Oryctolagus cuniculus: one gene and its partner. The protein of the gene in region 1 interacts with the protein of each later gene in a pairwise test. Links are inferred from orthologs where the notes say so. Each region holds a gene or a part of one and is shown on either strand. Other genes may lie near its edges. The genes, in order: ZMYND19 and TOX4.

What was found.
Region 2: the proteins of ZMYND19 (region 1) and TOX4 interact in binary tests that used the Homo sapiens proteins (3 or more experiments, as listed by UniProt). The two-hybrid records come from large-scale screens. The link is inferred for Oryctolagus cuniculus from reciprocal best matches to the Homo sapiens genes ZMYND19 and TOX4.

Annotation. Positions count from the first base shown.
Region 1 is NC_091432.1:237,722,128-237,726,619, reverse strand, and holds the start of ZMYND19 (zinc finger MYND domain-containing protein 19), read left to right. Parts: upstream 1-1,651; 5' UTR 1,652-1,869; coding exon 1,870-1,920; intron 1,921-2,247; exon of another isoform or gene 2,248-2,595; intron 2,596-3,021; coding exon 3,022-3,081; intron 3,082-3,977; coding exon 3,978-4,084; intron 4,085-4,492. UniProt on the Homo sapiens protein: May be involved as a regulatory molecule in GPR24/MCH-R1 signaling.
Region 2 is NC_091443.1:53,460,041-53,464,489, reverse strand, and holds the start of TOX4 (TOX high mobility group box family member 4), read left to right. Parts: upstream 1-1,458; 5' UTR 1,459-1,584; coding exon 1,585-1,590; intron 1,591-1,796; coding exon 1,797-1,865; intron 1,866-4,449. Other genes in the region: RAB2B (ras-related protein Rab-2B), read right to left, coding at 823-894, 1,136-1,181. UniProt on the Homo sapiens protein: Transcription factor that modulates cell fate reprogramming from the somatic state to the pluripotent and neuronal fate. In liver, controls the expression of hormone-regulated gluconeogenic genes such as G6PC1 and PCK1.

The DNA of each region.
Region 1 (4,492 bases):
ACCCGGGCACCCTGAGCACAGGCACTGCGCTGTGGGCTGCTGGCGTTGCAAGCGGCTCATGCTCACGCGCCGTGTGCCTCTCCTGTCTCTCACTGCAGCATGAGCAGGGGACCTAGTCTGTCTCGTCCTCTGGTGGACAGCAGTGCTCACGGGTGGTGGGTCTGACTGGCGTGGGCTGCCAGGAGCCCTCCCCCCACAGCCTGTAAATACGCTGTTTCTTTGCCAAATACTCCTGTTACCAACTAATGACCTTAAAACAGGGAGGCTGTCTAGGAGCTTCCTGGCAGAGCCCATCTAGTCACAGGATTCCCTAAAAACACAGAACGGGAGAAACGGGGCGAAACTGTGGGACGTATGAAGAGGACCCTGCTAGGAAGGGGTGGGGGCCCGGCCGACGAGGACGCCCTGCAGAAGCCGAGAATGGCCCCTGCTGGTGGCTGGCAACGGGCCCTCACACAACCACGTGGGACTGAGTTTTGCCAGCACCGTGATGACTCCCCCCCATCCTCGACTGCTCTTGAGACTTGGAGAAAAGAAACCACCCAAGTTCACCACACCTCACCAAGAGCTGCACTGTCTCATGCCACTGTATCTGTGGCGGCTTCCTAGGAAGGCTCACTCTCGCAGGTAACTCCCCAGGCCATGCAGAGGCGGCGGCTTGGCACACAGGGAGACCCTCCCCGGGGCCGCTGCCGGGCTGGGGCGGAGGAACGACCCTTCGCCCTCCCTGGATGCTGACTGCGCACCTGGGCGGAAAGGACGGGCGACCCACGCACACCCCGCGCCACCGGGCCGCCTGCAGCGCCTGGTCCGGCAGAGCCACACATAGACGATGCGGGCAGAGATCCCCACATTGCCCCCCTGCAAGGCTGGACTGGTGGCCCTGCCTCCCAGCCTCTCGCCCCTGGCAGGTTGAGGCACAGGGACCCAGATGTCACGAGGTTTTCTGAGAAAACAGCCTGCAAAGCAGAGCCCGGCACACGGGAAAGGGGGCTCCGCGGGGTGGCCTCTGCAGACCCCTCAATGCCCGGGGTCCCCGCCGGCTCCTCAGCCGGACACGCGCCGCCGTGGCCGCCCAGCTCGACCCCGCCCCGAGAGGCCGAGGCTTTCCGGAGGACACGCCGCGGGCGGCCCCGGCCGCGCCGTTCCAGCCGCCCCTCACCACTGGGGCCGCGCCCCATCTGAGTCCGGGAGCCGCGACCCGGGCCTCCCCGCGGGGCCGCGGGGCGGTCCAGGCCCGGGTGGCCGGCACCTTCGGGCTCCGGGGGGCTGGGCGCGGAGGCCTCCTCAGGCTGGTTCCTCAGAGGCTCGCAGCAGGTCGCCCGGCCGGGGGAGACGACGGCGAAGCGGACCCACGTGGACGCCACACAGCGGGGACCGCCCGGGCGAGGCGTAGCTGCCCGCACAAAGCTTCCCGCGAAACTGACGTCGGAGCCGGGCCCGCCGCGCAGGCGCCGCCCCCGGCCGCACCCCTCCCCCGCGCTCGCCCCGCTCCCCAGCGCGCCGGCGCACTCTCCTCTCCCCCATTGGTCGCTGCGCGGCGGCGCGCGCCAGCCGGCGCACGGCGCGCCTCGCGATTGGCTGGGCAGCGGCGGGCCGGGGGGTGTGTCCCGCGCCGCGCCCCGCCCCTCGGCTCGGCTCGCGGTGGTGCGCGCGGCGGCGACGGCGGCGGCGGCGGCGCGTGGCAGGTCCGGCGGGCGCGAGGTGGCGGCGACGGCGGCGGCGGCCCGAGCCCGGCCCAGCCTCGTCCCGCCCGGAGCCCGCCCGGCCCCGGCCCCGACCCCGGCCCGCCCGGGCGCGCCGTGGCCTCGCCTCGGCCCGGTGTCTCCCGAGGGAGCGGCGCTGCCGGCCGAGAGCGCAGGCCCGGCCATGACCGACTTCAAATTGGGCATCGTGCGGCTCGGCCGGGTGGCCGGGAAGGTGAGCGGCGCGGAGCCCGCGGCTGGGCCCGGCCCGCCCGCCCTGGCCTCTGCGCGGGGCCCGGGGCGGGGGCGGTTGTGCGGGCTGCGGCCAGGGCGGGGGCGCCGGCCCCGGAGGGGCGCCGGCGGGGCGGGGGCGCTGCGCGGGCCCGGCTGCGGGGCCTCGCTCCGGTGCAGGCCGCCTCTTGAAGTCGGTGGGGCGCGCCCCTTGCCGCCTTCGCCGGGGCCCGGTCTAGGACCAGGGCCGGAGATGCGCGCCCGTGCCCGGGCCGCGTTCGTCTGGCGCTCTCCCATGTGGGGCTTCCGAACTGGGCCCAGCCCGGCGCCAGGGCTGCACCTGCGGCCGCGCGGTTTGAACACGGCGCCCCTTCCAGGGCAGCGCCACCTCAGTCCTTCTTGCTAGGGGGTCTGATGGGGGCCTCTGAGCTTGCACTGAGCGTGGGCTTCCCCAGCGCAGGACAAGGAAGCCGGAACCCCGGTGTTGGTGAACTCGAGGGCTCCCTCGACTTCTCTCCCCTAGCCCGGCCTCCGCCCTCCACAGGCTGCAGGCGAGGCCTCTGGCACCAGTGGGCCTGGAGGCTTGGCTGTTTCCGCCTTGCAGCAGCCTGGGCCTTACCCTGATGGAAGCCTGGTCCCTATATCCAGGGACTGAGAGGCAGTCTGCATTCAAGTGAAGGTAAAACAGCTCCGATCCTAGGAGAGATCTCGCAGGAGTGAGGCTGGTGTTGTTGGGGGTGTCCCGGGCTCTCCCCTGGAGCTCTGGCCCTCTCCAGGCTGCATTAACGTCCCCAAATCTTTCATCCGGAACATTCCAGGCAGACTGAACTGGAAAAGGGTGATTGGGCGAGCACCTGTGCACCCCTTGCCCAGCTTAACAGACAAATTGAAACCTGGTGTGTACTCTGCCCCTGCTCCAGGGCAGCCCACTAGGTCTGGCCAGCTTTATCGGGGGCGGTCTTGTGTGGGAGGCCTTTGAAGCCAGGTGCCTCCTCCTGTGGCTTTGCTGTGTCTGCCGCACACGCAGTGCTGCAGAGCCAGGCCCCCTGGCTGTAATGAGGCGCAGACCCCAAGTGTAACGCTCTGTAATGTGGTTGATTTGCAGACCAAGTACACGCTGATAGATGAGCAAGACATCCCACTGGTGGAGAGCTACTCCTTCGAGGTAAGGGCGCAGATGGGGTGTTCCCGGGAGGGCCGAGCGGAGTGCAGGTGCTTGGGTCCAAGAGGCCCGGCACGTGGATGTCTGGTGCCAGCCGGTGGAGTCTCCGTGGCCTTTCTGACGCTGGCCTTGGCCGACCTGCACCCTCCCTGGTCGCTGGCTGCTGTTAAATCAACTTTTGTCCTGTTGCTGACAGGTGTCCCTAGTGCAGCTTACCCAGTCCTCTCCACGGTCCCAGGTGCTCTGTAAGGAACTTGCCTCCGACCTCTGCGAGTGGTCCCTGGTGCTCTGGCCACAGGGCCCCACAGTTCTGCAGGAGCTCCTTCTCCAGGGTGTCCCTTTCTCACGGGATCGTGGGGGGTTTTTATTGGTGGGAAATTGTCTCTGCGCCCATAGAACTTCACAAATAATTGCTTATGAGTGAGGGTTTTTTTTAAGGTTATTTAAAATTTATTTGAAAGGCAGCATTAGAAAGGGAGAGACAGAGACAGATCCTCCATCCTCTGGGCCAGGCTGAAGCCAGGAGCTTCTTGTGGGTCTCCCACGTGGGTGCAGGGACCCAAGCACTTGGGCCATCTTCTGCTACTTCCCCAGGCCATTAGCAGGGAGCTGGATCAGAAGTAGACCAGCCAGGACTAGAATCTGCGCTTCTATGGGATACTGGCCCCACAGGTGGTGGTTGAACTTGCCACGCACAGTGCCGGCCGCTAGTGTGAGCGTTTCTTGTGTGAGTGAAAGGTGGAGTGGTTGAGGGGGCATAGCTGGCCTCTGCATCCACAGACACCCAGGTCCCAGAAACGGGCTGGGCCCTGTCTTCCGGCTTTTTTGTTTCATTCGATTATTCTAAGAGGGATCTGGAAATTGGAGGATTTTACCAATCCTTTCCTTGTTCTTTTCAGGCCCGCATGGAAGTAGATGCAGACGGAAATGGTGCTAAGATATTCGCATACGCCTTTGACAAGAACCGAGGCAGGGGATCGGGCAGGCTCCTTCACGAGCTGCTGTGGTGGGTGTTCTCGCGCTGTGCTGGTCTCCCCCTCGGCCCTGTGTGACCCTCACCTTCCCCGAGTCAGTGGCCCGTTGTCTGTGCCTGGTGCCTCCTGTGGTACAGGAATGTGGACGACTGCCTTCCGCTTTGCCCAGCACTCCGTCCACAGACAAAGCGCCTCACGCCCCAGGACAGGCTCTGCGGGGGGGGGGGGGGGGGGTCCTGCGCTCTGCCCCGGCTCTCCTGGGGCGCCTCGGCGGGGTGTGAAGGGGCAGCTCACTGGGGAAGTTAACTGCCGCCTCGGTGTGCATGATGGGATGCTGGTGTCTGGGACCTCTCGCTGAGGAACTGTTTGTAGGCTGTCTGGGTCTGGTTCGGGGTATCGTTCTTGGCTCTGTGGGTCCAGCTCTTAGATTTTGGATGTCA
Region 2 (4,449 bases), on another chromosome or scaffold:
TATATATGTTACTATGTATATTATTTACTATATATTTTATTTGGGTGAGGGTTATGTAAATCAGAAGGAAGGGTCTGTTAAAGTGCCTTCAGACCATAACTTGCCACAAACTGCCTTTTATTTCTTTTTAGAGAGTGATCGCCCATCCACTGGTTCACTCCCAAAATGGCATTAACAGCCAAAGCTGGGCCAGGCTGAACCAGGAGCCTAGAACCCCGTCCGGGTCTCCAGAGAAAGTGGCAGGGGCATAAGTACATGGGCCATCCTGCGGGGCTTTCCCAGGCCCATTAGCAGGGAGCTGGATCGGAAGTAAAGCAGCTGGGACGTAAACCATTGCCCCTATGGGAAGCCAGCGTCACAGGTGGCGGCTTAGCCCACTGCGCAACAACGCCCATCATCTGCCTTTTAATTGTTAGGCTGGGATGGCTCTTCGCTTCGCTTGGTCCTCTCCACCACACACACACACACACACACACAATCCAAGTACTGGTGTTGACTCTGAAACACACAGTATGAGGCTGGCACTCATATATCGCAAATCTGAGATGCGCTTTTGAATAACGCTGCTCGGCTTCCGCTGGATTTCCCATAAACATTTACACCCTATGGGAATCGGTCCGTACCTCGCACATCTCTGGACTTCCCTTCACAATTATTTATTCCTCTTTACACCACTCTTCACTGAACCTAACTTCGCACTAGTTTTAAGCGGTGAGAGGCAACTTTTGACTTGAGGACACGGAAGACAGCTGAGCTTTCCACCTGGGCAGTTCAGCGAGCCAAGGCTTTATGATCGGTTCTGGAACAAACAGCTGCACTTACCTATTGTGAGGTCGTGGACTGGCTGGAACCGCTTGTCTGTAAACTGCAGGAGGAGACATGACTTCCCCACACCTGAAAGGGGAGGACGTGCGTGCCAGGAGCCCCGCGGCCCAGAAACACCTCCCGGAGTCCGGGCGTCAGGGACGCGGGAAGGGGCGCCCCGAGCCCGAGCCCCGCCCCCGGCCGCCCCGCCCCGCCCCCGCCCGTTCCTCGCGAATCGCCCAACCCACTGAGCGAGCCCCGCCCCCGCGGCCCGATTTGGGAGCTTCGGGTGCCCGCCTCAGCCTTCGAAGGCGGCCCGCTCGCGGATTACCTGTGTCCCCGATGATGATGTACTTGAAGAGATAAGCATAAGTCATGGTCCCGATTCCTCCGGATTCCGGGTCCGCCCGACTTCTACATCCACTTGCCTCCGACCTCTCTAGCCACTCAGTCTAGCGATCTCCTTGTTTTTCCCTCTCCGGCCCCTCTAGCCAGATCACGTCTCTACTGCTCTCCCCAGAAATCCACAGCCGGACCGATGCAGTCAACGCCGCCTCCAGGGACGCCTCTAGCACCTCTACATGCCATTATCCCACCACGCTCCAGGGGGCGATATCTACCTTTTCCATCTGCTCGGCGCCTGACTCGCAGCCCCACGACGCTCCTTCCAGTCAGCGGAGAGCGACGCACTTCCTTGCGGAAGTGACGGCAGTTCCGAGGCCAGTGGGGGCGGTGGGAGCAATGAGGGGTCTGAGACGGTGGTAGAAAAGTGGTGTGAAGATGGAGGTAGGAGCCCGGGCGCTAAGAAGGCTTGGCGAGAGAGCGCCGCCGATCGGGTTGCAGCAGAGGCGGGAAGGGAGAGGCGGCTGACGGGAGAGGAGAGACAGCCGGGATTGGGGAGTGCTGTCAGAATGTCGGGATCGGAATCCGGGGCTCCAAGCGAAGTCCGTGCTCCCCCTAACTTATCACCGCGGCTTTCTTTTGGTTTCCAGTTTCCCGGAGGAAATGACAATTACCTGACGATCACAGGACCCTCGCACCCCTTCCTGTCAGGCGCCGAGGTGAGCAAGAGCCGCCGACGCTGCGGGAGGGGTGGGCCTGCGGCGGTGGGGCGGTGGGGAAGGGCGTGCGGACGCTGGGAGACCCCGGCTGGGACCCGGGGGGCGCGGTTGGTGTTCGGGGGGAAGTGGCAGCTGCTTCTAGAGCCTATCAGGACTGCCCGGGGAAGTCCTGGGGAAGCTGCTGTCACCAGAAAACCAGGGCGCTGGAAAGCGAGAACCGGCTTAAGGAGGAGAGTGAGTCCGGGTGGGGAGATGGGGGGGGGCTGTCTCCTTTTTGTGGGAGAAATACCCACGACGATCCTGGGGGATCACAATGGGAAGCAGAATTTTCAGCAGCTAACGAAGTCGGGTGAGGGGAGAAGCTCACCTAGCAGGGACTTAGCCAGGGGCCTGTGTTCACGAGCTGTGCTGAAGGGTGCGGTGGCGTTTTTGTTATTTAACTTTTCTACTGTGATAAAAAGTTAGTTACTTTTACCAACAAGGTATCAGCTTGCTTTGCTAGAGAACTTGTGCGTGCACGCGCGCGCGCCCCTGAGGACATTGTGCATTACTTCACCTGGGTATGTCACAGTTTCCTCAGCTGTCCCATAGCTGTAATAATAGTTTCTTATGATGTTGTAAAGTAAAAGTAATGCTTCTGGTGAGGTCCTAAAGGGTTGGTGAAAACGTTTGGGTTGAAATATTGCCATACTGTAGATATGTATCAGTTGCTTAGGCCAGACCAAAAAAAAAAAAGGGTCGGGGGCGAGAACGAAAAAAAACTTCCCAGACTTTGAGGGGGAACTATGAAGCAAACCTTCTACCATCTTTTGAAGTTCTTAATTTTTTAATTTTTTTTTCAAAAGTGGTGTAGACTTTTTTTTTTTTTTTGCTACTAAGAATTCTCAGTTGTTAAATGACTTTATCCTATAATAAATCCTGATATTTTCATGGATAAAAATTAGATTGGCCAGAGACAGTTGCTGACTCTTTAATTTCTTTGTTACTATTTTTACTATGCCAGGGGGACATGTAAATCAAATGTGCAATAGATATAAGAATGACAGAGTACTATCTGGTGCCTTTAAAGTTTTGGTACAAGTTTCCCATAAATGAGGGTCTCCTTGGTTTAATTTCATTATTTGGAGTCTTGTAAATCTCACATTAGCCTCAACTATATGAGTGTATTATTGCCAATCTCTTCTCAATCAGGTCTCCACAGTTTAAATTTGTTGTAAAGGTCACATTAGCTTCATTCATGAGAAAGCAGATGGTAAAATTAAATACAAATAGTTTTTTCTTTTTTAAAGATTTATTTATCTTTATTTGAAAGTCAGAGTTACAGAGAGAGGAGAGGCACAGAGACAGGTCTTCCATCCAATGGTTCATTCCCCAGATGGCCGCAATGGCCAGAGATGCACCGATCTGAAGCCAGGAGCCAAGAACTTCTGGGTCTCCCACACGGGTGGAGGAGCCCAAGGACTTGGGCCATCTTCTACTGCTTCCCCAGGCCATAGCAGAGAGCTGGATTGGAAGAAGAGCAGCTGGGACTAGAACCGGCACCCATATGGGATGCCTGTGCCTCAGGCCAGGGTGTTAAATGTATTGATTGTGCTTTATCCTTTAATCCTTTTATGAAGTTGAGCAAGCAGGAGGTAACTTCCTAAAGATGACTTTTTTTTTTTTTTTTAAAGATTTATTTATTTATTTGAAAGGCAGAGTTAGAGAGAAAAGGAGAGACAGAAGTCTTCTATTTGCTGGTTCACTCCCCAAATGGCTGCAATGGCCAGGGCTGGGCCAAGCCAGAGCCAGGAGCCAAGAGCTTCTTCCAGGTCTCCCACGTGGGTACAGGGGCCCAAGCACTTGGGCCATTTTCCACTGCCTTCCTAGGCACAAGAGCAGGGAGCTGGATTGGAAGCAGAGCACTGGAACTCAAACTGGGTACCCATATGAGATGCTGGCACTGCAGGCTTCAGCTTTACCTGCTACGCCACAGCATTGGTCCCTATCAAGAAACTTTACAGGATGGAGCCATGTCCAAGTGTTTTGGGGCTGGCACTTTGGCACAGCGGGTTAACACCCTGACCTGCAGCGCCAGCATCCCATATGGGTGCCAGTTCTAGTCCCGGCTGCTGTGGCCTGGGAAAGCAGTAAAAGATGGCCCAAGTCCTTGGGCCCCTGCACCCATGTGGGAGACCTGGAAGAAGCTCCTGGATCCTGGCTTCAGATTGGTAGAGCTCCGCCCGTTGCGGCCATCTGGGGAGTGAACCATCGGATGGAAGACCTCTCTCTCTCTCTGCCTCTGCCTCTCCTCTCCTCTCTCTGTGTAACTCTGACTTTCAAATAAATAATCTTTTTTAAAAAAGAAATTAAGTGTTTTTTTCTTCTTAAGAAGCTTATAGCTAAGTTTTAGTCTCAATTTAGCTAACTTAGCTAACTTACCATAGGCTTTCTATCATTGTTAACAGTTCTGCTTTTTCTCTTTATAACTTTACACTTTCCCTTCCCATCTTTGGCAGTGTTGTTTGGTTTTTAACCTTTAATTAGTGTGTGGTTTTTGTTGTACCCAGGTGTTTTGTTTTGTTTTGTTTTTGTTTTTAAGATT